Schizosaccharomyces pombe: one gene and its partners. The protein of the gene in region 2 interacts with the protein of the main gene of each other region in a biochemical or structural test. Each region holds a gene or a part of one and is shown on either strand. Other genes may lie near its edges.

Region 1 (7,968 bases), on a different chromosome or scaffold from region 2:
AACACGAATATCACTATGAATGCTTCCACTTCGGATAGCAGATGATTTCAAAACTGCAAGAATCAAAATAGGTAATAACACCAAGTTCTTTGGAAGAACCAGTTGGCCTGGAGTCAAACGATTAGCAGCAACCTTCCGATAACTAGATAAGATTTTCACGACACCCTCCACTAACCTAACCGATGTATCTTTTAAAGAACCCGCTGCAATATTTGTCGATGCAATTTTAGCTAAAACTGCAACGATAGGTTCAACAATGGCAAGAGAAATCGTATCGTAGCTTTTAGAAGTGACAGCACAGCAATAGTTAACAACCCTTACTCTTCTCTCACCAGAAGGAGTGGTATATAAAACCGCAGTTTGAAAGTGAGCGTCCAAAGCTCCATTTAATTTTCCATCATAGGAAAACAGAACTGTTACACTTTTATCAGCATCAAGACTGCCAAATTCGATATCTTGTGGAGTTCGTTGCAAGAAGTTGCCTAAATATTTGGAGACACGCAGACCATTTGAGCATCGTGTCTTCAACATCACTCGATAGCCTTGCTCTCTGGTAACACTTCTAAATAAATCTTGTTTAAGTCGAGATCCATCACGATCAGCAACAAAATTACTATAGTGGTAAATCTGCCCACCACTTAAGGTCGCAACACTTCCAACAGTAGCAACATCAACATAAGCAGTAGCAGTAAAGAAAATATCAACACCTATACCAGCAGTAACATATTCATCGGCAAGAGATGTATACCACTTGTCTTGGGTGTTCCAAAGATTCTTTTCATCAGAAGTCCCATATAATCTTTGATCTTCACGATGCCTTAATTTCCCCAATCCCATCGTAGGAAGAGCACTAACAAAAACAAAAGCTTTTCCACCTGTTTCCTTAAGAAGGAGTTTTACTACTTCCAGTGCATTGCCAACGACTGGTTCGGGAATTTTAACATCTTGAAAAATTGCAGGGAAACTGTCCAGCAATCTCTCAATGACAACTTTTGAAGCAATGGGATCAACAAAAAGACCGGAAGAAAATGGAACAAAGGGATTCTCTAAATCAGAAGCAGCTAACATATGGGGTTGCTCTAAATTAGGAGATAAATTGAAGAAATTAACGCTTCGATCAAAGCAGACAATAGCAATTTTGACATTAGGATCAAGAGGTACCGGTCCGTAGAGAATATTCCGAATAGCTTCAGCTGCAACCTTGGGAAGTCCTTTGGAGGAAGCTTCATAGGAAACATCAATCATAAAAACAAAGCGAGCCGGCTTTGGCGGATCCTCCTTTATCCAATAGTCCTTCCCCACTTTAAAATCAATAGTGCCAACATTTAATTCTGGACGAGACTCCACTCCATCATGCTGACTACCGACTAAAGGATTAAAACCATCATCATTAAAACTATTTTCTGAACCGCAAAGATTGCAAGTCCATTTACTACTTGCCATCGTGAATTGGATAAAAGGATTGATGTAGCCACGACATTTTTTGCAACGTGGGGGATTTGAATTTGTGTTATCTACAACGGGTACGGGTGCTTCATCAGGACGTAACTCTGCGAACGGTTGAACAATCATTCCCAAGGGGATTCCGGAAGCATTGCAAACATCATTGGTAGCTGGAATCGCGTAACTGGTAAACTGAACGAATTTGGAAGATGAATTTCCTTGTTCATACCCAACAAAATCTGTAGTGGACATAGGTGGAGAACCCTTTTCCATGGTATTGAATATTTGGTTTTTAAACAATTGCTGATCTTCATAGCGAACTTCAGGAGCCGAAGGTAATGCTGCAGGATCGAGGAGATTTGTATCATTAGAAAAAGATTCTGGAAGTACTGAGGGTGTACTTGGCGTAGGATAATTCATGGAAGGCGGGATAGCAGGCGACATGACAGGAGCCAAAGCTGGTTCAGCATCTGTCAATGACATATCATATGCATGGGCATCTTTATGTCTTCTAGCGCGTCGGGGTTGTGGAGCCATTGCACTACCTTGCTGTATATACATTTGTGCGTTCATTTGAGCAGCTAACTGAGTGTCAATTTCAGGGCCCCCATATGAAGCAATATTGCCAGCAACATTTTGCCTATAAGTCTCAGGATTACCGTAATTTCCAAACTGCCCGGGATAGGCCATTTTGTTTTTGTGTCAAGTTTACTTGGTGGATGTACGAATATAAGTAGGTAAGGGTAGGGCAAAATATATACCAAATAAAAAGACTGATTTGAAAGAGTAACACGATATAAATAATTTTAGATAATAAAGTGTGAAATTTGAGATTCTTCAGGAACATCAGATATGAACTGGATGCATTTCCGATTGTCAAAAGTTGACTTCCCTTTAAATTTGGAAATGGACAATTTAGCTCTATATGTAAAAAACCTCAGCTGTTTCAAAAAATGTCATTTCACATGGGCAGTGGCTCTTTAATGAAACAGCTAATAATATTGATACAGCGGAGAAAGTATCTATACACCTAGTATCTATAGCGAATAGTCAATAATGATATTCAAAACAAGTGTTATTAACCTAAATAATTTAGATTGACATTTTGAAAACTAAGAAAGAATGAATGTAAAGATAGGTATAAAAATGTAAAGCAAATTTTGATTGCAAATTATTAAAGGATAGATATATGCAACAGATGCAGTAACAAAAGGAGGGTCAAAGAACGGGGAAATCAAAATCACTGGACTCCATAAACTGATTGTGTCAAAAAATTAAATAAGATATTTAGCAAATGTTCTTGACAAACTTCGTTTAACACTCATTTTTTGGGCATTCACAAAGGAATCAATAATCACTTGAATGGCTTTGTCTATATGTGAAGGGCGCACAAACTCACTGAGCTGCATTTTTGCAAATGCTTCACTTAAACGGATAGCAGACTCCAGATGACGCACAGTAATAGGATAACTTCCAGTAGCCAGTGACTCGCGTCTCATATCGCTATAAAGTCTCGAAATCTTTTCTTCATCCATTTGCTGTAATCGAGGAAAAACTTTTTCACGAGCGAAATGGATATATTTACGAAGAAGATCTTGGGGAATGGGTTTGGCATCAATACCAGTCTCAGTAGGGACTTTCTTCAAGACATCCATATTCGGATCAAATGCAGGATGAGATCGAATATGACTTGATACAACAAAATTAGCTAGCTGTTCATCAATTTCAGGATTAACCGTGTCTTTGACGACCTGAAGGATGTCAAAACGAGATAAAATAGGTTCGGTCAGCTCAACATTTTGATTAAAAGGAATTGTAGTGTTATAACGTCCACCGATGGGATTAGCGGCAGCAATAATAGTGCACCTCGCCTGCAAGGTAGTCACAATACCCGCCTTAGAAATAGAAATACTTTGTTGTTCCATGGCTTCGTGAATAGAAGTACGATCCTGATCATTCATTTTATCGAACTCGTCAATCAAACAAACACCTTTATCTGCTAAAACCAAAGCACCCCCTTCCAAAGTCCATTCATTCGTAATGGGGTCTTTACGGACGGATGCAGTTAGACCAACAGCACTGGCACCCTGACCTGTGGCGAAGACAGCCCTATGTGCCGTTTTTTCAACATACTTAAGAAATTGAGATTTGGCGGTTCCTGGATCTCCCAACAATAAAACATTGATATCACCTCTAATTTTATGCTTACCGTTAATATTTTTGGGGACACCACCGAATAAAGCAGCAGCAATAGCAGTTTTGATAGAGCGATGTCCATAAATAGAAGGCGCCATCGATGCAATAATTCTGTTGTGAATATCAGGCGACTTTGCTAATGCCCGAATTTCCCTTTCCTCATCATCAGTAAGCCGACTTAAAGAGAAATCATCATCAGTATTACCACTGCCGTCAAGTTGCGATATGTGATTTGCTTCTATAATTGTAGCGAAGACAGGAAACCCGTTTTTGGTATTCAGACTAGCATCGAAGTTATTGCGGTATATGCCAGTAACATCAATCTCTTCGCCTGGTTTGGCAACATCAACCAAGTCCGCTAAAAGAATAACTTCACGGTGTCGAGGCAGTCTACCTGAGGGGACGGTGCCAGGTGATTCTTGTAAAGTGATCCTTTGATAGTTATTATATACAGTCCGTTCAGAGTTGATTACAAACGGACCACGGCTGGAACAGTTGTGACAGAAAGAAATTTTTACTTCAACGCTAGAGTCTTGAAAAAATGGACCCAAAGTAGCACCACATTTGGTACATGTAAACCGAATGTATTTTAATTGTGGAAAAAGCCCAGTGCGCCTAGTTACGACACCAGATACCCGTACAAGGCAATTAAGATGGGATTGTCGTAGATCGCGTAAAGTAAAACAAGTAGGAAGATTAGTGATACGAACATGAATATCAGAGTGTATTCTTTCATAGTCTGGATAATGCAAAAGAGTGGCTTCCAAAGCAACACGATCAAATATGCGAAAAATAGGTGCAGGCGCATTGGCCAAGAAATAAGCCAAAATGGGTTTAGATTCACCAAGATGGGCATAATTAACCATCAACGACTCAGCATTAACCTCACCCAATGTGCGAATACGGTTACCGTATACAGAGGTGCCATTTTCATCTGTATATTCAAGAAGGAAATTTTTGAATTCTCGAGCAATTGTACGCCGAACAGGATCAAGAGTAACCCATTCGGCAATACTATCGGCCTTTACGTCGGCAATTGATTCAAGAGGAAGTTCACCAGATTCGTCCAATGCGCCAACATTAGGTGAATATTCGTCGTAAATTCGATGTCGATGACGAGTGAAGCCTGTGCCAAGATTGGAGTCCAAATCATCATCTTCATCTTGTAAAAATGCAGCAGGTTTTGTTCTACCTGCAGCAGCATCGAGCTCAATATCACGTCGTCTCAACCTGGCATCAACAGCTCTTCGGGCCCCGATATCTAATTCTTCAAGATCGTTATCGTCATCTAGTTCTTCAATGTCATAACGATCTAGCTCCAAATTTTGTTGATAATCACTATACAGTTAGAAAAAAGTACCTTATTTGACGCGAAATGTGAAACTACTCTTTTGAAAATCAAGATTTGTTCTGTCAATATAACCGCAACCTAGGAATCCAATAAATATATTTATTTACAAGAAGGAGAAGAAATAGTATGTAATTTATATATTGATGGCAACACTTAGTATACACAACATTGACAAGACACGTCTCAAGCATAGCTATAAAACTTACCGTTCCATTCCTTCTCCGAACAAATCTTCACCTTCTTCATCCTCTACATCTAAAGCTTCTCCGTCCAGATCCTCAATATCCTCCTCCACGAGAGCTTCTGCAGCTTCATCAGAGAATTCTGGAGGAGGTGAAGAAGGAGGTAAAGAAAGAGGTGTAGCACCGAGAGAAGAATTTTCTGATTCAAAAGGTAAACTTTCAGAATCGCGGCGACCCCTTTTCCGAAAAGAATCCATCTTTGGACTCAAATACTTTAAAGATGTTGTTTCTAACTATTTTAATGCATTGAATAGCTAGAGTATTGCAGGATGAAAGAATAAGAAATGCTACAGTATATTGTTAAATTGTATTGGAAAATGTAGTGATACCTGTAAATGAAATAGAGGAGCGTAATGAGTTAGTGTTTTGAATTATTCAAAAGACATTCTTCGCAATTGTTTACGCCGTCTATTTGCCAACGTTTAGTTGCATTTAATAACTTATGGAGGAAACGGCTCATGAATTAACGGTTAAGCAATATGTTGAACAGCAAAGGGAGCTTGAAAGGGAGGCACGAGAAGTTTTGCCTTACAGCTTTGACACGTGCACTTATTCGATGGGCTATTTGAAGCAACCTTTATACGCTTGTTTGACATGTCAAAAAGCTAGCGGAAGCTTAAATGCTGTTTGCTATAGCTGCAGTATTAGCTGCCATGCTGACCATGATCTTGTGGACCTATTCAATAAACGACATTTTCGATGTGATTGTGGCACCACAAGAACCCACTCCATACCTTGTAATTTACGGAAATCCGTTGATGAATGTGGCTCAGAAAATGATTATAATCATAATTTCGAAGGGCGATTTTGCATATGTGATACGGTGTATAATCCAGAGACAGAGGAAGGAACTATGTTTCAATGCATCCTTTGCGAAGATTGGTTTCACGAAAAGTGTCTGCAGAAAACTAATAAAGGAATTGCAATCCCAGATGCTGAGACTTTTGAATGGTTGGTGTGTTCAGAATGTTCAGAAAAATACCGCGATCATCTTTTAAACCAGAAGCATGAAAGCATAGCTGGTACAGAACGAGCGCCTCTATTTCTTTCAGAAAACTTTAGGGAAAATTTGTGCCCTTGTGAATCTTGCATCAGTTTGCGTAATTTGGAGATGCCAATGTTGGTGGCAGAAGAACCTATTTACGAACCTCCTGAGGATTCTGAGGATGGAATCAGTGAGATGAATGAGGATCCCAGTGAATCTGGAGAAATGATTGAGCAAGTCATATCTAGCACAATGAATGATGTCCTTCGTATTTTGGACAGACTTCCTCGTGTACAAGCTAACGAAAGCGTTTATGCGTATAATCGCTTAAAATCTGAGCTAACGGACTTCCTCACTCCATTTGCTCGTGAAAATAGGGTTGTCACCAAGGAAGATATATCAAATTTTTTCTTGGAGCGATCTCGAATCAGTAAAAATTTACGGTAGCGTTAATAACTTTTTTGAATTCCCTTCTTTTTTGGCGTATAATTTAACGTCAAAACATGTAGGTTATACTTAATCTGGTGATGCTTTTTGTGAAACGCTGTTTATACTGGTGAAACCAGAGATATTTTCTATGTGCTTATGGTTAAACGTAATCATTTCTCTATCAAAAATGGTTTAATTGATTTTCTTAACAGAGATGGTTAATTTGAGAGGCTTACTGGGGCTTGTTGGTATACATGATTTTAATGATGATGACAAATTTGTATGTATATTTGAACAATAATTAATATATTGAACTTCTAGCTTTCTTGTCTCTCCTATTTTAACTGCACTCATTAAAATTTTTAAACCTATCTATAGTTTTGGTGGTTGCGTCTTTTATCTTTTATTTTTGATTGAGAAAGCTAAAGAGAAACCCTGTCTGGGTATTTTTTTTTTGTTATATCTCATAATGACTTTCATTTTAATTTTTTCCTAACAGTTTTTTAAGATTGAATTAACTTTATATTTTATTGTTTTCTTTTCATAAACAAAACTAATTTTCAAATAGTGTCGTTTCGTTAATATTCAGTAATTCATATTTTATATGAGCTTTGCGATGATGTTCAAGCATTGAGACCTTAGTTGACAGCAGCTCTTATCCAGCATCATCAACCACTTCCTAGCCGCCATGTCTCAAATGTCTTCAGCTTCTGTTAAATTCCCGGATTCAGTTCCCGGAGTCGATTATCCAAAACAGCTGCAACTGAAATATTTACAAGTCATATTTCGACATGGTGAACGTGCTCCCGTGAAGGAAAGACTTGGTTCCGCCGGTATCCCTAAGGATTGGAAGCTTTGTAATAATGCAAGGAGGTTTTTTGCGCAAATTAAAGGGGAAAAGGAATGGTCTGTGTTGGGTTTTGAAAGGAAGGTTGAGTCACCAGTTGACACGTCTCTTGCAGCACCAACTTCAGACAATTCCCCAAGTGGTGTTTGCATTCATGGTGAATTGACTGATTTTGGGCGTGTTACTACCAGAACACTTGGTGAGTATCTTCGAGAACGTTATGTCAAACAATTGAAATTCTTACCTGATGAATTGAATAACTACGCTGATGTTTATATGCGTGCGACTCCAATGGTGCGAGCCTTGGAGTCTTTAGAACATGTTTTTTCCGGATTGTATCCTGAGTCAAAGCGTAAGATGGGTTTACCTGTCATTTTTACGAGAAATTGGTCAGACGAAAACCTACTTCCTAATGAAAACAACTGTCCTCGACTTGTGCAACTATATGAAGAATTTGCAGAACGAGCTGCTAAGC
Region 2 (7,458 bases):
GTGCATTGAATTGTTCCAAAATGTCATAAAAGGGACTTTTTCGAAATCGTATTCGCGAATGAACAACTGGGGCGAAAGGACGGCTGTATGATCTATTTCCAGAAGCTGAACTAGGTGGAGCAATTGGAGCAGCAGCACTATATATCTGATATGTGTTGTACTTTAAGATACATACGGCACTTGTAACATCGCCATCGATTGCCTTTTTCAATGCTTCCCAAGAGGTTGTGTTGTTTTCTATAGCTATCCTCTCTATTAGTTGTTTAATTCTGGTAATGAGCTCAGCTTTTGTTCCTGAAAGACGAAGTCCAAAAACACGAAGTATATCTTTCAGTTGAGGTATAATAAGACCAGTTTCCAGTCGCTTTAGTACATTCTAAACATTCATTTTGTTAGTTAACTTGTAAATATCTTATTATTGGGCTTACTGGAAGCTCCTGTAAAAAGTTCGCCTGGTTCATTGAGTTTTTAGACTGCTTGCCTAAACCGTCGATTTACACATATGTTATATGCAATGACTGCTTCCGTATAGGTATTTGAAAGACAAAGAAATCAAATTTTAGCTAAAAATACAATGAATTATATTTATTCCTTGAATCTCTGCAAACGCCTGGTTGGCAAAACTTGAATTTAATATTTGAAGATAAGGAAGTATATGGCAGTGCGGTATGTGATAATGTAAGAAAACAAAAAAAAAACGGGCAAGTGAGCTTTACTTGTAGTAATAATTAAATAACAATATAAATGAACTTTTGATGAATTTGATCGAATGAATGAGGAAATTAACTTGGAAATTCCAAAAAGACATGAAAAGTAATTTCTAACATTGGTTAAATGATGTTGATTATAAGAAAATATGCGATCAATCAGTTGACAGTCCAATGATTGATTAGACTACGGGCAGCCTCAAAATCAATTCTTGAAACCAGTTGACGACCGAAACTCTTCGCGTAGAGACGAGAGCAATTGATCTGTAATGAAAGTGTTTTTTCATTGATTTCTTTATTATATTGACGGGAGCTCACATATGTAGATTGAATATAATCCAGCATGTTTTCGGGAATATTAGCACGCATGTTCCACATGTGAAAAAAATTACAAAACTCTTGCAGCTCATCCGAATCAGTTGGAAATTCAATAGTGTCCGGAGAATCGCCTCTACATCTACAACCGACATCAGCTGGCAAAATAGATCTTCCATGGCTTAATATAATTATTCGAACATTACTGTGAACGGTAAAAGAACTGAAAGGATAAAAAAATGTTAAATCCTGTTGAGATATTAGGGAAGACAAAAACTGAACGTTACGGCATCCGACATCGTTTAAGGTTCCACTCGATAGTTCAGTTTCATCAAGAACTATAAGGGTGCCAGGAGCCACTTGCAAATGGCTAGTATCTAATGTCTCTCCATCACTCAAGGGATAAAGCGGCTTCCTGTTAAGCTCGGCGACATTAACTTTTTGAATCACCATTCTTTTTATCAAAGGCCGTAACACAGAAACTAACTGGGACACTAATTCAGAGGTGCAATTTGTTAAATTTAAAGTAAAACCACCTATAACCAAACCAGTGGTTTTATGAACAACGTTGGAAAGAAGAGCAAGCATAAGACTTTCCGCAGCTATATTTTCACCAAGGACTTTTTCAAAATATTTTAATATTTTTGGTCGAATGATCTCAGCTTGCTGAGGAGAAGGGGCTTGAGTAGCTGATTGCGTATAATCCTTAAAACATAACATGTGTAAAATGGGTAAACCATCCGAGTATTCACTTGGTTCTTCATAAATTCCAATAACATCGATTGCTTGACAAACTTGAACTTTAGTTTCCATTCCGCCATAGCATTTAACACAAACGCCGGTATCATTACTTGCTTGTAAGCGGTTTGAGTACTTCAATGACCGTTCTTTCAGACTCTCGCTTCCCCAGTTTCCCAAAGCTTCTATAACAGGAAGAGTTCTTTCTCCAGGAACATTTGTCAGAAACAGTGAATATCTTTCATCTAGGACAATTTTAGATTCATCTAAATGCATTTCATCTTCGCTGAAATCAAGTATGTATCTACAGCCTCTCCAAATGTTTTCATTTACCTCTACAGCTCCAGCAAAAAATTCATGCCCAAAATTGGTGTCTTGCACCATACCTTGAAGACGAAGTAGTTGACCAGTCTTTAACTCAGACCATTTGCAGTCAAGATAGTTTGGAATCTAAATATTCAGTGTCAAATAAGAGAAAAAACCACTTAACAAACCTTTCTTATTCTTTCCTCTGTAGCGAAAATATTAGAAACTTCTTCATCGATGCCTAAAGTGCCTTGTAAATCGGGCTTAGATCCTGCAAACAATGCATCCTGAAATCTTTGAAGAAACGATCTTGGATTTTCGATAAAAGAATCAGATAAAGCAATTACCATATTATAAATATATAATTTTATCCTTTAAACCTATTGAAACCAGTAATGATAAAAGATGTTGATATTGCAATGTGCAATGTTCATTTCACGTGAGCGGATTGACTTTAAGTACCCTTTTCTATGGCGTTGCATATACCTAACGATGTACTAATTGCTGTATAAATTCGCTTAATAAGAAGCTTAATTTATTAAGAAACAGAAGGCGTGAATTTAAAGAGTTATCTATTGCTTATTACTACTCTTAAAAGAGAAAAATATTAGAATTTTACAGATTATTGATCGTTTTTGTAATAATATAAATATATTGATGTGCTTGTTTTCATCATTTGTGTCGATTGTACAAACATATATTTTAAAGCTAGCTTTGATAGTGCATTTAAGAATAAAAAAAATTTTCAGATTTACATATTAATGCTCTTTTCTATTCGCGATGGGTGAAGTGACTACCATGCAGTGGTTAAAATACTCAACAAATTTACTAGTTCACTGGAACTCAGTACTGATGTTACTAGTTCAATAACACTGAATATGAGTAATGCAGTATCATCATCAGTATTTGGAGAGAAAAATAACTCTGTAGCTTATGAGCTGCCATGGTATGTATATATTATGAGCAATTAAAACGTCCTTTATGAAGGTTTTAGTGTTCAGCTATTACGATTGCTTCTTGGTGACTCAGGCATCTTTTCATAATTTAAAGGTTCAATATAATATAGTATGCTGATCTATAAACTTATAGGGTCGAAAAGTATCGTCCAATCGTCCTGGATGACATTGTTGGTAACGAGGAGACGATTGACCGACTTAAAGTTATTGCCAAGGAAGGGAATATGCCTCATCTAGTTATTTCGGTAACCTATTTTTTTTTAATTATTATTTATACTACATGCTGACTTATATTTATAGGGAATGCCTGGTATCGGAAAAACGACGTCTATTCTTTGTTTAGCACATGCATTACTTGGCCCAGCATATAAGGAAGGTGTATTAGAATTAAATGCTTCAGATGAACGAGGTATCGATGTAGTGAGAAATAGAATTAAAGCATTCGCACAGAAAAAAGTCATACTGCCACCTGGAAGGCATAAGATCATTATTTTAGACGAAGCAGATAGTATGACGGCTGGAGCTCAACAAGCTTTGCGTAGAACTATGGAAATCTACAGTAATACAACGCGTTTTGCACTTGCTTGCAATCAATCCAACAAAATTATTGAACCTATTCAATCGCGGTGTGCAATTCTCCGATACTCACGTCTTACGGATCAACAGGTTTTACAGCGTTTATTGAATATATGTAAAGCGGAAAAAGTCAATTATACAGATGATGGTTTGGCTGCCCTTATCATGACAGCAGAAGGTGATATGCGTCAAGCAGTGAACAATCTACAGAGCACTGTTGCTGGATTCGGTCTTGTGAACGGTGAAAACGTTTTCCGGGTCGCCGATCAGCCTTCACCTGTAGCGATACATGCCATGCTAACTGCTTGTCAATCTGGAAACATCGACGTCGCCCTTGAAAAACTTCAGGGAATATGGGATTTGGGGTTCAGTGCTGTGGACATTGTCACTAATATGTTTAGAGTAGTAAAGACAATGGACAGTATTCCGGAATTTTCAAGATTAGAAATGCTTAAGGAAATTGGCCAAACTCATATGATTATTTTAGAGGGTGTGCAAACCTTGTTGCAGTTAAGTGGTTTAGTATGTCGCCTTGCTAAGTCACAGATGAAGCCGGAGTCTTTTATTATTTAGTTTAATGGCACCAGTCTTGGTTCAAAGTCTTGATGATTATTAAAATCAGTAATACCCCAAGTCATATAAAATATCAAAACCCCTAACAATAGTAACGTGTAATAAATCCTAGTCTGATTTCTGTTTCCAATTTTTCCGTACAAAGTTGGCAGCCCCATTGAATTACAAAAAGCATGTACTAAAAATGAAGGAAATAAGCTATGCGTGGAAAGGAATAGATGTGTTGTATACCATCCAAAAACTGTGGTGTATGAAAACTGAACAACAGTTTGAAGAGCGGCAGCTATATATGCATTCGGATAGGCAAGTAGAAATTCATAGGTATGATGAATATGCGCCATTCCAAACAGCAGAGGCGCAACAAATATAATTTTAAGCCTTGACCACCCAGCAGCTTCACAAATTGGTACTATGCAACATCTAAATGTAAGTTCTTCAGAAAGAGGACCCTAAAAAGACTTGTGAGAATGTGGAGTGATAAAGAAATTAATGATACTTACAATAATAATGTTTCGCCAAGCAATCGCATTCGACAGGCAGTCTTTCAAATGTATAAAGAAGAGTCTATATTCTTTGTCAACAATCCAAACTTCATACAGGGGCCCAATAAATATAGTTGCTGCGTGTAGTAAACTTTTCAAAACTTGGTCTGTCGGGAAAGTGAATACATTCAATGAAGGGCCAATGATCAACCTTGTTAAAATACAACATACAGATGATGCTAATAAGACACTTATGCAACGTGCCGTAATAACTTTCGGGTCATTCCGATTAAGAGATGGCCTTGGTCGAGCAACTGGGAACGTGTATAAAGAAACAACGTAAATCGCCGTGAAAAAGAACGAAATTAAATAAACTCTCATAAAAATAAACTGTAAATTATGTAGTTTCCAATCGATTCTTCCTCTGGTAATGCTACGTGGTTATCTTACTATAAAAAGGGTGATTAATAGCAATTGAAAATAATGGGTAATCAAAGTTTATGAATAAAAGCTTAAATAAAAAGCATAAAAATCTTTACTTTCCCAAAATGAAAGCAATGATCCTAGGCTAGCTAATACAGATTTTTATAAAGTGCAAGGAAGAGATGGCATGTCAGCAAGTTACGCCAGACAATATCAATAACGAAAATAAACGCTTTGTAAATACGCGACCAATTTGAAATTGTTGAAAAAAAAAGCGGATTTTACAATAAAAATTTCAATAATTTATAAAAGTACAATTGATATGAAAAATACTACTTTCAGTGAGAAGAATTAACCACGCGTTAAAAAATAAAAACATCAATTTTAAGTAAGCAACCCATACCCTAACAAAATAAAAGTTATTCTCTCTTTAACTATTTCACCGACCTTAATGGAATTAGAAATGCCCAAATATTACCTGCTAAACTGCAGCTGATGGAATGATAGAAATTTAAATGGAAAAGTCCAAGGGAACAAATAACCAAATTTATCCATCAACCTCCATGGTAGTAGATGTATCTCTAGGAAGTTGTTCAGTAAATTTTTCTGTAACCGCATCACAAAGGTCAATCAAATCATCGAGCCCTTTTCTTAAAACATCTACAGCGGTTGTTGAAGCTTGAATTCGTTAGTTGAGTTTGTCCCAAAATATTATTAATCAAATCTATAAGTTAATATTTCATTCAATCACTTACGTGCTGTCTGAATTCGAAAATTCATTTTTGCTTCAGATGGATGTGGGATGGAGTAACCGCAAAACTCAACCTCAGGACTGAAAACATTAGTGTTAATATATGTTTACAATTTAATATCAATTTACTTTTTCATAATGACATAGCGAAGAGAATTGCCTAGCGTATGGTCCTCTTTTTGAATTTGAAATGTCACAGATGTAAGATCAGCAGAATGACCAGGAAGCTATAACTTTAGTTAGCATATTAATTGAAGGAACAATGCTAAAGAAAATCAAATCCTTATGCCAAACACATACGATAATTATTTTTTCAGTTGCAGATTCCATAGCAACTGAGCTAGGATCTGTTACGTCTGTCATTGCCGCCATGTCTAAAGTTTATTTTATAAAAAAAAGAAAAGATACAGCGAAACTTCTATGCAAACAGCAATATTTGGCTCTTTACAAATTTTCTAACGCTGCTCAATTTCCAAAGGAAGAATCCGTATTTAGTGTAGGTTAACGCATATTTTTGCAGAGATTTTAGCGTATGATCCTGAAGCAACAAGAGGCTGCGTTAAATCGTTGACAGGTAAAAAATACAAGATTTTGTTGACGAGTCAATGAGTTTCAATTTTAAAGTATTTTATCAGTGTTTGCATTATTTAGTCAAATAACTGTAGTTAAGCCTATAGCTTTACAGAAATTTCATTGTCTTTAGACACTCACAAGTTATATGTTGACAAAAACCCCATACAAATGAGCAACTAATCATCAAACTTGATTGCTGCCGTGACTTTAGTATAAGCATTTATTATACAAAATGTTTACAAAACTATGATCAATTTTTTTTTGTAACACTATTACTGTTAAAAGAACCACTGGCTGTTTTGCATGTTGATTGTTTACTGTATAACTCTTAAGCCGAACCTATTGAAGTAAATATAAAACATATCATAAATGAGATTATTCCAAAGATATTTTTAACCATCATCGAATATGGCATTAGATAGAAGAGTGCAAGTACTAAAAATCTCATTGACATTTTTTTAAATAATATGCTGGGTTTTTATATGTGTTTGACATTTTAAATAATTGATTTTACGATACTAGCATCAATAAGATTTCCAGAAGATACATTTGATTGCCGGTTCTTCATTTTTTATTTTATTTATTTATTTTTTTTAAATCTATATTTTTGCGACAGCTATCATATAGCAATTGTTTCAATAAGCCATTTTTATTCAGCATAATCACAAATAAAAAACTTTCCAATAAAAAGTATAAATTTCCTCAATTTATAATTTATTATACTTCATCATTTCTAATTAAAGTACTTTAAAAGAAAGAATATATTCAGAAAATATCACTGTTAACTAAGTAAAATTAATATTTATTATTCGCCTCGCCAGTACTGGTAATTGGTAATTTAAAGTTAATGTGTCGTAAGAACCGTGTCCTAGTATTTAAAAATCATCTTCTTTGTTTGTTTGTTGCGTATTAATAGTTTTCTATTGAACTGAAACAATTTGAGAAGCACACTCGTTTGTAGCACAACTGTTCGCGGACGACACTACTTTTCAATAAATGTGCCAGATTGATTAATAGTTTCAAGTCTCTATTAAATGATCAATTCTTTGAAAAAGAAA
Region 3 (8,905 bases), on a different chromosome or scaffold from region 2:
GCCATAAGTTAACGTGTGTAAAAATAGGTAAATGGACACCTTTATGGTGTTTGAAGACGAACAGCACTTCGATCCTGACATTTTGCGAATATTGGTAGTTTTCATATAGTTTGTCATCGATGAACACACAAGTAACGATTGATCAGGTAACAGTATCTTCAAACAATGGAGTCTGTGAAATGGTAAATAATGAATCAGCAGGAAACCAGGATCCTTTGAATTTAGGTAGTAAGTCTATGGAAAACCAAAATTATATTTTTCTTGAAATTCCGTGTTATTAAATCTCTAGGATTAGTTTGCAAGAAAGTGTTCTCCGTGCAAACATTAGAACCGTGGGATTTTAAGCATAAAATGGGTACAAAATGAAATATAAAAACAAAGAATGACCGATGCCTTTATTACCATGAATAATTATGTGTTTTGAATTATCCCTAAAAAAAAAAAACATTACCTTTATTTTCACTTTATTAAAATAATTTTAACTTATTCATGGAGTTGGTTCATTAACTTAAATGATCGTAAATAATAATCCAAAAAACCTTATACTGCTAATTTACTAGTACCTTTTTTTTTATTTTATTCTTTTTTAAAAAAGAAAAAAGGGGAAATTAGCGACATATATTATGGACTTAAATTTTTCTAAGTACATTACTTTACGTATATGCAACGATTAAAATCAAACTGAAGTAAAAAGGTGATTTTTTATAATTCCTAAAGTCAAACAAAATAATTATTTAATAACATAAAAACCATGAGGTGATTGACTTGAGCGGTAATTTAATATATCAAATAATTTATGTTATTTCAAATCTCTCTTCCCTTAATAATCTGATAATCTATAGTCACTGAGAACACATATATAATAAAAAATGTGCTATTTCAAAATATTTATTCCATTATAGGTAGCTTCATTTTTCATGAGAGAATCGCCAGTGTATATTGAAAATTCATAAAAATAAAAAGCTAAATATTTCGGACAATTGAGACAAAAAAACCTATAAATATATATGTACATATTAAAATAATTTTTTGAAATTTATTAGAATAATCAAGCTCAAGCTTTTGCATTGAAAAGAATTTATACATAAAACATGAATGTCTAAGTATAAAAATTTGAATTAACTAGTTGCTTATATTTCTACCTTTGACATAATGTTATTAAAGAAAGGAAATAAATACATCTGAACGAAATAAATTATAAGTTTATAGGTAAAATGGTTATACAAAGGTGGAAGTACTGTTGGCGTAACTTATTTTTCTGAAGCATTAATGCAAACACCAAACCCGTGCCAACATTAATACTCCATATCTGAAAGAGATAAGTTATTCTATATAGTAAAAAGCTAAATGATTATCAACAAAGTCGATACAATTGCTATATCGGATTTTATATTCACTGATACTCAAAGAATATCAAAATACAATTACTGCATTCTTTACAAATTCTGGATTTCTTTTTGGTTTAAAAAGAATTCATTGAGGCGATTTGAGGATTAGCAGCATATATGTCAAACATTTAAAAGTGTAAACAAAGTATAGAAGAGCTAGCAAATAGCGGAAAAAGGAACGCCCAAAAACTTTATTAATATTAAATATAGAAATTTCTTATGAAATGGCAAGTTTAATTCAAATATGCCAAAAATCTCCTTGTTTTAACAATCGAGAAAACACAGGAATTCACAAAATAGCCATGTACTTGAAAGTCCTTCATCGCGAATGTATTATTGCATTTAACATATATTGTTCCAATTGTACTGCCAGACAAACCAGAATAATATTTTTAACAACATAGCGTGTTCAAAAACTCAACTTGACTTTTCATCAATTAATCATTTTTTGTCGAAATCGTTACAAGTATTTGAGAGAGCGTAATGATTACATTACTTAAATCCAGCTGATGATGTACAAAAGATAATAATTGCGGTTTTTGAAAATGAAAGCGAAGTTTAGAAAAGGGCTTGCTATGTGCATACTGAATGTTTAAGCAACATAAAGACGATTCTATTCGAAAACCGTGCAGAAATACAAGACTTGCTGTTTCGTTTGCTAGATCAATCGATAGTCAAGATTATTTTATACATTAATAAATAGTAAGGTAACTGATCAATCAATAAATTTAACCAACAAATTGTTTCTCGCCATGTAATAGTTTTAGAATTTTTTAGATATTTACCAAATAGTGATACAGAGCGCGAATCATGATAGTGAGTTCTTGAGAGGACTACCATATCGCTTTCATCGATTACAAGCTAGTTAAATCATTAAATTATCTTTTGCATTCGGAACGATCTTCCTCACTATTCCCTTTCCTTCTGATGCTATTCGCTCAGTTTTCGCATTCCATTACCAACTTACTCCCCTCTCTTTCAATGGTAAGTAAAGGGATATCGAGATGTTGAAAACAATGGTTTGGATCGATTTTAATCAATTTCAATTAGGCTAGTTCAACTATTTACAATATTTTCTTCCGAAGAAACTCTTCATTCTACGCAACTATATTTGTGTCTGCTTTTTTTGCTAAAATGTATGTGGAATTGTGTTGTTTAACTATTATCGAATGATTCAATTATACTAATGTTCTAGTGGATTTGACGTTTTTACAGACAGTGTTTGGAAGCGTGCCAATGCTGGGGTATGTATTTTCGATTAGTGAATGATTGAAGCGACTGTGGATATCGAGTGCTAACAAGACGATAGTTAACATGGGACGAGGTTAAGCCTCGTTTTCTCAACAAAGACGAAGATGCTGAGGATGATGAATAAAAGAATCATTTGACTTTGGATTTTCTCAATTCTTTTGTTTGTTATTGACTGCTTTAGCTTATTGTTTTCTCTCCTTTGAGGACTGATTTTGAACTTGTTTTGAAATCACCAAATACCCCATTTAAAAAGTCTATCTTCAGTGTTATCGTTCCCTTTATGTTTGCCCACGCTGTATGAAGTGTTGGGTGCATTCAGTTGCACGATTTGAACTGGCAAGCAGCTGTTTAAGATTATAGCTGGTTTACTAAATAACGAACATTATCATTTTCATTAAAATACCTAATAACCAGTTTTAAAAGAACTGCTGTAAGAAGTTGGTAATTATTAGTGTATTCAAAATTTCATCTACCAGGCGTGTGTGAACACCACATCACTCAGAGTTGAATTGTTTTAAAGCTTGTAAGTATATTTTTGAAAAAGTAATTTGAACTATGAGTGTGACTCAACCTTTACCAGACGTTAGTTGCATACGATTTGAAATCTTCAAATACTTACGAACAACTCGTTACATTTCAAATTTAATACATTAACAAGAGTGTAAGCTTGCTATAAAATGAGTCTAATGCCTCATTGGCAAAAATGAAAAGAGTGAGAATAGTAAATAAAACTTCAAAAAAGTAATGAGATTATGCAAAAAGCAGATTGTCCATTTAATAACGGGATAGTTTGATCTTGAACAAACATAAGTCTTCATGCAATAGAGCTAATGCAAATATTTAGGTGAACCAGGAACCACGATATGATTTTTAATAACTTAACCAAATCAAAATTAAATACGATAAACCACATTATCTGAAAACATGATCTTGTTCTGAGCGTCCATTTCTTTAAGTGCCACAATAGCTTCTTCTCTCGAAAATCCTACATCATCCTCGATATTATTAATTGATTCCAAAACATCTTCCAAAGAGGCACACTCTTCTGAGAACAGCTCGGATTTTGTAAGGGAAGCCAACCGGGCCATGAACACAGACATCTTCTCACGAGGTAATGAAACTGTGCTCTGCTCGCTCACAGATGCCGACACTTCAGAAGCCACGCTAGTGCCTGTATTGATGTTACGGTCACTGCTGGCTAGCTCTCTCGATGTAGCTGGTAAGGTCGAGTGAGTGGAAGGCCATGATAACTGGGTATTTGATGTTCCTACATTATAGGAACCAGCTGTTCCAGCGATACTTGAACCAATCTCCGAACCAGATTCTTGACTTTGCGAAGTTGCATTCTGAGATCGGGTAACTCTTCTCGATCCCGAATCAATGACCATGTTTGTATCCATTTCTTCTTCAGATTCCTCAATATCCATGTCATCGGAATTATCGTCTTCTGAGTCAAACTCTTCACCAGCCTCTAGGCGTTGTTTTTTGTGCTTCTTCCTTTTCGGTTTAACAACTTCACGAAACAAAGCATAACGCAAAATTTTTTCCGCAGCCTTTGCATCTTTGACTTCCACAACTGAGCTCAAACGTGCTTTGGCGTGAGCAGTACTTAATCGAATCAAGGTTTCTAAAGTACGTGCCGTCAAGGGACTTGTGCGCCGCTGGTTTCCTTGTAAATCGTCATTTCGTAACCCACAATAAATATTGGTAATGTACTCAGCGGTTGCTTGATTCAGAATAGGGTGGATACGAGATTTTGCATACTGAATATATTTCCGCACAAAGTTGATGTTAAGCAATTCTTTCTTCTTCGTTCGAGCATTCGCATGCAAAAGACTTGAAAATGTTTCCCAGACTGGAGTCTCAACTTCCTGTTCAACGTTTTCCGTAGAGACACCAGCAGCGTTTGTAGCTCCAACGTTTAATACACTGTTTAAGGAATCACGAACCGGCGTACCTGGCTCAACACCAGGAGGCAAGTAACGATGCATTCTCAATACATGCTCACTGAGAGCACGGTCCTTTTTATCATCGATATCATCTGTAACAATGAAAAGAAGGTCAAAACGCGAAAGCATAGAATCTGGAAGTGCTATATTTTGGTGAGGATCTTTACGAATATCGTATTGTCCATATATAGGATTTGCAGCGGCAATCACACTACACCGAGCATTAAGCGAAGTATGAATACCGGCTTTAGCAATCGTAACTGTCTGTTGTTCCATAACTTCATGAATAGCAACTCTATCTATGTCACTCATCTTGTCAAACTCATCAATGCAAACCACGCCACGGTCTGCTAATACCATGGCACCAGCCTCTAAACGACGCTCGCCAGTTTCTTTATCTGTGGTCACTGCAGCAGTTAAACCTACGCCAGAAGAACCACGACCAGTCGTAGCTATAGCAAGTGGAGCGGTATTAAGTACAAATCTAAGAAGTTGAGATTTTGCAGTGGACGGATCACCAACCATCAAAATATTTATATCACCACGAATATGAGTTCCATTCGTCAAATTTTTTTCAGTTCCTCCCAGAAGAAGAAGTAAAATTGCTTGCTTGACGTATTCATAGCCATAAATACTGGGAGCAAGACTCGTAGAGAGAAGTTCAAACACATTTTTTTTTCTGGCCAATTTATTTATGTTACGAATATCAGCATCAGTGATGTCTAATGCACCACCACCAACATTTCCCAAACCAGGTTTATTCCCTAACAAAACAACATTGTTCGCTAGCAGCACAGTTCGAAACGTCGCGCTTGTATTACCAGATGTTTTAGACCCCATAGAACGATATTGTCCTACTATATTAACACGATCACCAGGTTTAACAGTATCAACTAAGTCATCATCCAACAAAATGTCAATTGATCTAGGAAGTTGTCCTGGTGGTGCACGTTCAGGCATTTCCTGAAGAGAAATTGACTGATGATCGCGAAAGGTGCTGAAGCCAAATTCTATTGATAGGGGATTACCGTTTTCGTCTTGTGTTGGATATACAGTGGATTGAAAGCTAAGGCCGCCATTCATAGTAGCATCGGCATATTGTTTGAAATGATGTCTTTTTGTAGCTTCGCAGTAATGAACAGATTTAATTACTTTAGGACGAACAAAAGAGCAGCGCGTAACAATTCCTTCCAGAGAAATCATCTTATTTAAATGCATGGCTCTCAAAGTACGTGGATTCACATGGTGGTCACCAAACGATCCCCTGAAACCCACGTAAAACAGCTTATCCTTTAGGTCCTTATGAACAACAGGATCTATGAGAGTGCTAACTACATTTCTCAATGCCTCATCAAAAGGTTCCACATATTCAAGAGGCTTCAAAAGAACACCATCAGCTAATTCTCGGTTGTAATCGCGCAGTTCATCAATATTGACAATTAAACGACGCTGACCCATGTTAAGCATTCTAAGGATTGCCTCTTGGTACAAGGTAACGTTAGCATCATCAGTGTCATGTTCAAGATATTCTTGAAAAATTCTAACACGGTCTTTAAAAACCTCATCTGCTAACAGCTCAGTCATTTTTATAAGCGCTTTTTATTACCGTCCTATAACTTGTAAAAAAATATCCAAAGGTTTCCAATTTTATCATGCGATACCTGCAAGCAAATGTGTTGATCGAATGCTGTAGGGATTTCGCGTATAACTTAAGTGAGTTAAATCAAACCGCACAGGTTTTAATACAATATCCAATACTAGCCTTTTACAGGCTTATTACTGCCCTCCAAACTTTGATAAAGTTTTCGATAGATGAAGAAGTATTCTTATGTTGGATGGACTATTTCCTTTATAACTATACGAAGTTACAAAATGTTACTTGATCGAAAACGAAATTGTAAATACATAAATACAAAAAAAGTTATTAAAAGTGAGTTCTTTTTGAATTTCTTTCATAATATTAATATACAATTTTGAATAATACTGTTCTGGTATAATCCACAGTGAACAGTTCGTTAACAATTCCAAAGTTTGTAATCGTAAAGTCATTAAACGAACAGAGAGTTGCTAAAAGAAGTCAACCCTCATACTCACTTAAAATATGAGTGAAATAGAAGTAGATATACTTGAGGATGAACAATGTGTTTATCTAGAGAACCATTAAAAACACAAGATTAACATATGATGAAGCGTAAGGGAGTATGTGGTAAATTATATGCTTGAGATGTTTATATAGAAGGTGACTTTCACTCTGCGAGAGAATACAAAACCTCACCAACGTAATAACTTGTAACTAAATTTACGTTTAGCTTAAAAAGTCTGAAGAAATCACATGAACAACAGATCATCTTCTATCGTTCTGCCTTCTGTTAAACTTTTCAAGAGTTCGTATAATCAGCTCTTAAAAACAAATAAGTTCTCAGAATTATAGTCATAACATCAGAGACTTGAGGTATCAAATTTTAATTTGTAAGCTCCAATTTATGTACATTCGAAAGTGAAGACCATTCGTACGTAGCAATTCCCTCAATTAACTCTTCATCAGGCGTGGTCCCGTATCTATTGCGAATGACTTCTCCATTCACATCAAATTTCAAGTCTAGCCGATCTCCTAAATCTAGCTGTATTTTGACTTTTTCTTCACTGCAATCTACTACGCGACCGGTTTTCTCTGAAATTTCAGGTGTACAAGTAACTGGGTTTAAATCCATGACTGTGAACCTCATCAAACTTCCAATAGGAAATTCAGTATGGAAAGAATTGGAGGATAAGGAAACTGGATGAGAAACGTATTTAGGCGCCACTTTTAATGAAGCTAAAGATGCTGAATCCTCCTCATCATTTTTAGTTAAATACGAGTCAGGAACATTTGCAACGACGGTAGATTCATTGGCTGAAAAAGTATCATTAGATTCTTGCATCAAACGTTTCAATATTCTTGCTTTCTTACGACGAAGATTCCGAGCTTTTGTAGCTGATGAACCAGATCCGGGAGGCCGAACTGAAATATTATTAACATGGCCATCGAATTCAGCATTTAATTTGCTTTTTTTATTATCATCGGAAACACCCGTATTATCGTCCTCAACTACTAAGTTAGTTGACACCTAAATAATGGGACTTACCACTTGAACGCAAGGTATTGCTCCAAGTATTTTCAGATTCTACACTATCTGATAAAGGGGTTGTAAAATTTTTTCCTTCTTCTGAAGGTTTTTCAGTATTTTCACATCCTCGATGAACTTTGGTGGTTTCACTAGATAATTTGCTAGGAGAGGAAAAGTAGTATTGGCTAGGTTCATCATAATGTAGATAAGATATTTCTTCAACAGTAGGAGGCGTACTTGAAGAAGGGGCGACCTCAGATTCTACTGCTTCATTTTCGGCTTTAAAGGTTCCTTGTGGAAAAGAAAACTCGTTCGCCGTATTTAAAGAAACTGACACCGATACATTATTAGAAGAAATCGTATCTGAAGAAGATTGTCTCGCTGTGTCCGAACTTTCATCCCCTGAAGAAGAATCACTGGTTGACGATAGGTCACTTGAATCTGAAACTGAGCTTGAAGATTCGGAAGAGGATGAGTCAGATTCCGAAGGAGTTGAATTCTTTGATTGAGAAGTCAACAATGAATTGAGCTCTGGTTGCTGTACTATTGAAGCTGAAACGAATTCTTGGTGCAATGATAAATCGGAAGCAGAAATTTGCTTAGCATGTAGAGACTCATATTTGTTTTGTTGAAAATTTGCTTTAAAAATAGTATCATTTTCATTTGAAATTTTCGACTTTTTGGTATTTAAAGCATAATTTTCGGGCATATTAGCGTATTGACTTATAGATGACAAGGGGGCATTTCTCTTTTTAGAAATCCATGAATCATTAGCTTGATAACGAGGTGAGGCACGACCAGCTAAATCAACTTTTTGCATCGTTTCGGGTGATAGCATTTGCTGTTTTTGTGAAGCCTTGCTATTCATGAATTTAGACGACCATTCTCTAATATTTTCTTTAAGTTCATTTGGACTATCTAGTCTTAGTACAAGCACCTCGCAACCTCTGTGTAAGCCTTCAGACCTTGGTAAAGCACGAAGCTCAAGAGTATCTGTCTCTTCTAGGAATAGTCCATACGACATAGAGACAGGTAAAGCGAATCCGTCCTTAGCGAGTTGTAAAAACATTTCATTACCAATGGTGTACCTTTTAATACTTTCATAACCTGTGAAGATAGCGCGTTTATCTTCTAGTCCGGAAAAGTTGAATTTGATGATATTGTAAAGTAAATCAGCCACTAAACTAGATGAGTCTGATAAATCAAGTTG

What was found. The genes of interacting proteins can lie anywhere in the genome.
Region 1: the proteins of mcb1 (region 2) and mcm2 form a complex in vitro, tested with the Schizosaccharomyces pombe proteins (one study listed by BioGRID).
Region 3: the proteins of mcb1 (region 2) and mcm3 form a complex in vitro, tested with the Schizosaccharomyces pombe proteins (one study listed by BioGRID).

Annotation. Positions count from the first base shown.
Region 1 is NC_003423.3:1,188,680-1,196,647, forward strand, and holds mcm2 (MCM complex subunit Mcm2), read right to left. Parts: upstream 5,464-7,968; 5' UTR 5,430-5,463; coding exon 5,197-5,429; exon of another isoform or gene 4,978-5,196; coding exon 2,718-4,977; 3' UTR 2,529-2,717; downstream 1-2,528. Other genes in the region: COPII-coated vesicle-associated protein Sfb3, read right to left, coding at 1-2,133; ubiquitin protein ligase E3 component mlo2, read left to right, coding at 5,675-6,664; SPOM_SPBC4.06 (acid phosphatase), read left to right, coding at 7,335-7,968. UniProt on the Schizosaccharomyces pombe protein: Acts as a component of the mcm2-7 complex (mcm complex) which is the putative replicative helicase essential for 'once per cell cycle' DNA replication initiation and elongation in eukaryotic cells.
Region 2 is NC_003424.3:901,842-909,299, reverse strand, and holds mcb1 (mini-chromosome maintenance complex-binding protein mcb1), read right to left. Parts: upstream 2,504-7,458; 5' UTR 2,417-2,503; coding exon 2,255-2,416; exon of another isoform or gene 2,211-2,254; coding exon 867-2,210; 3' UTR 501-866; downstream 1-500. Other genes in the region: SUMO E3 ligase Pli1, read right to left, coding at 1-376, 429-461; DNA replication factor C complex subunit Rfc4, read left to right, coding at 2,945-3,012, 3,156-3,267, 3,323-4,171; rce1 (CAAX prenyl protease), read right to left, coding at 4,168-4,620, 4,672-5,034; DNA-directed RNA polymerase I and III subunit Rpc19, read right to left, coding at 5,624-5,754, 5,832-5,908, 5,957-6,054, 6,128-6,199.
Region 3 is NC_003421.2:368,915-377,819, forward strand, and holds mcm3 (MCM complex subunit Mcm3), read right to left. Parts: upstream 6,411-8,905; 5' UTR 6,173-6,410; coding exon 3,533-6,172; 3' UTR 2,764-3,532; coding exon of another isoform or gene 2,698-2,763; 3' UTR 2,633-2,697; coding exon of another isoform or gene 2,584-2,632; 3' UTR 2,529-2,583; downstream 1-2,528. Other genes in the region: bouquet formation protein Bqt3, read right to left, coding at 1-81; qcr9 (putative ubiquinol-cytochrome-c reductase complex subunit 9), read left to right, coding at 2,370-2,372, 2,439-2,524, 2,584-2,632, 2,698-2,763; coilin Mug174 , read right to left, coding at 7,051-7,676, 7,714-8,905. UniProt on the Schizosaccharomyces pombe protein: Acts as a component of the mcm2-7 complex (mcm complex) which is the putative replicative helicase essential for 'once per cell cycle' DNA replication initiation and elongation in eukaryotic cells.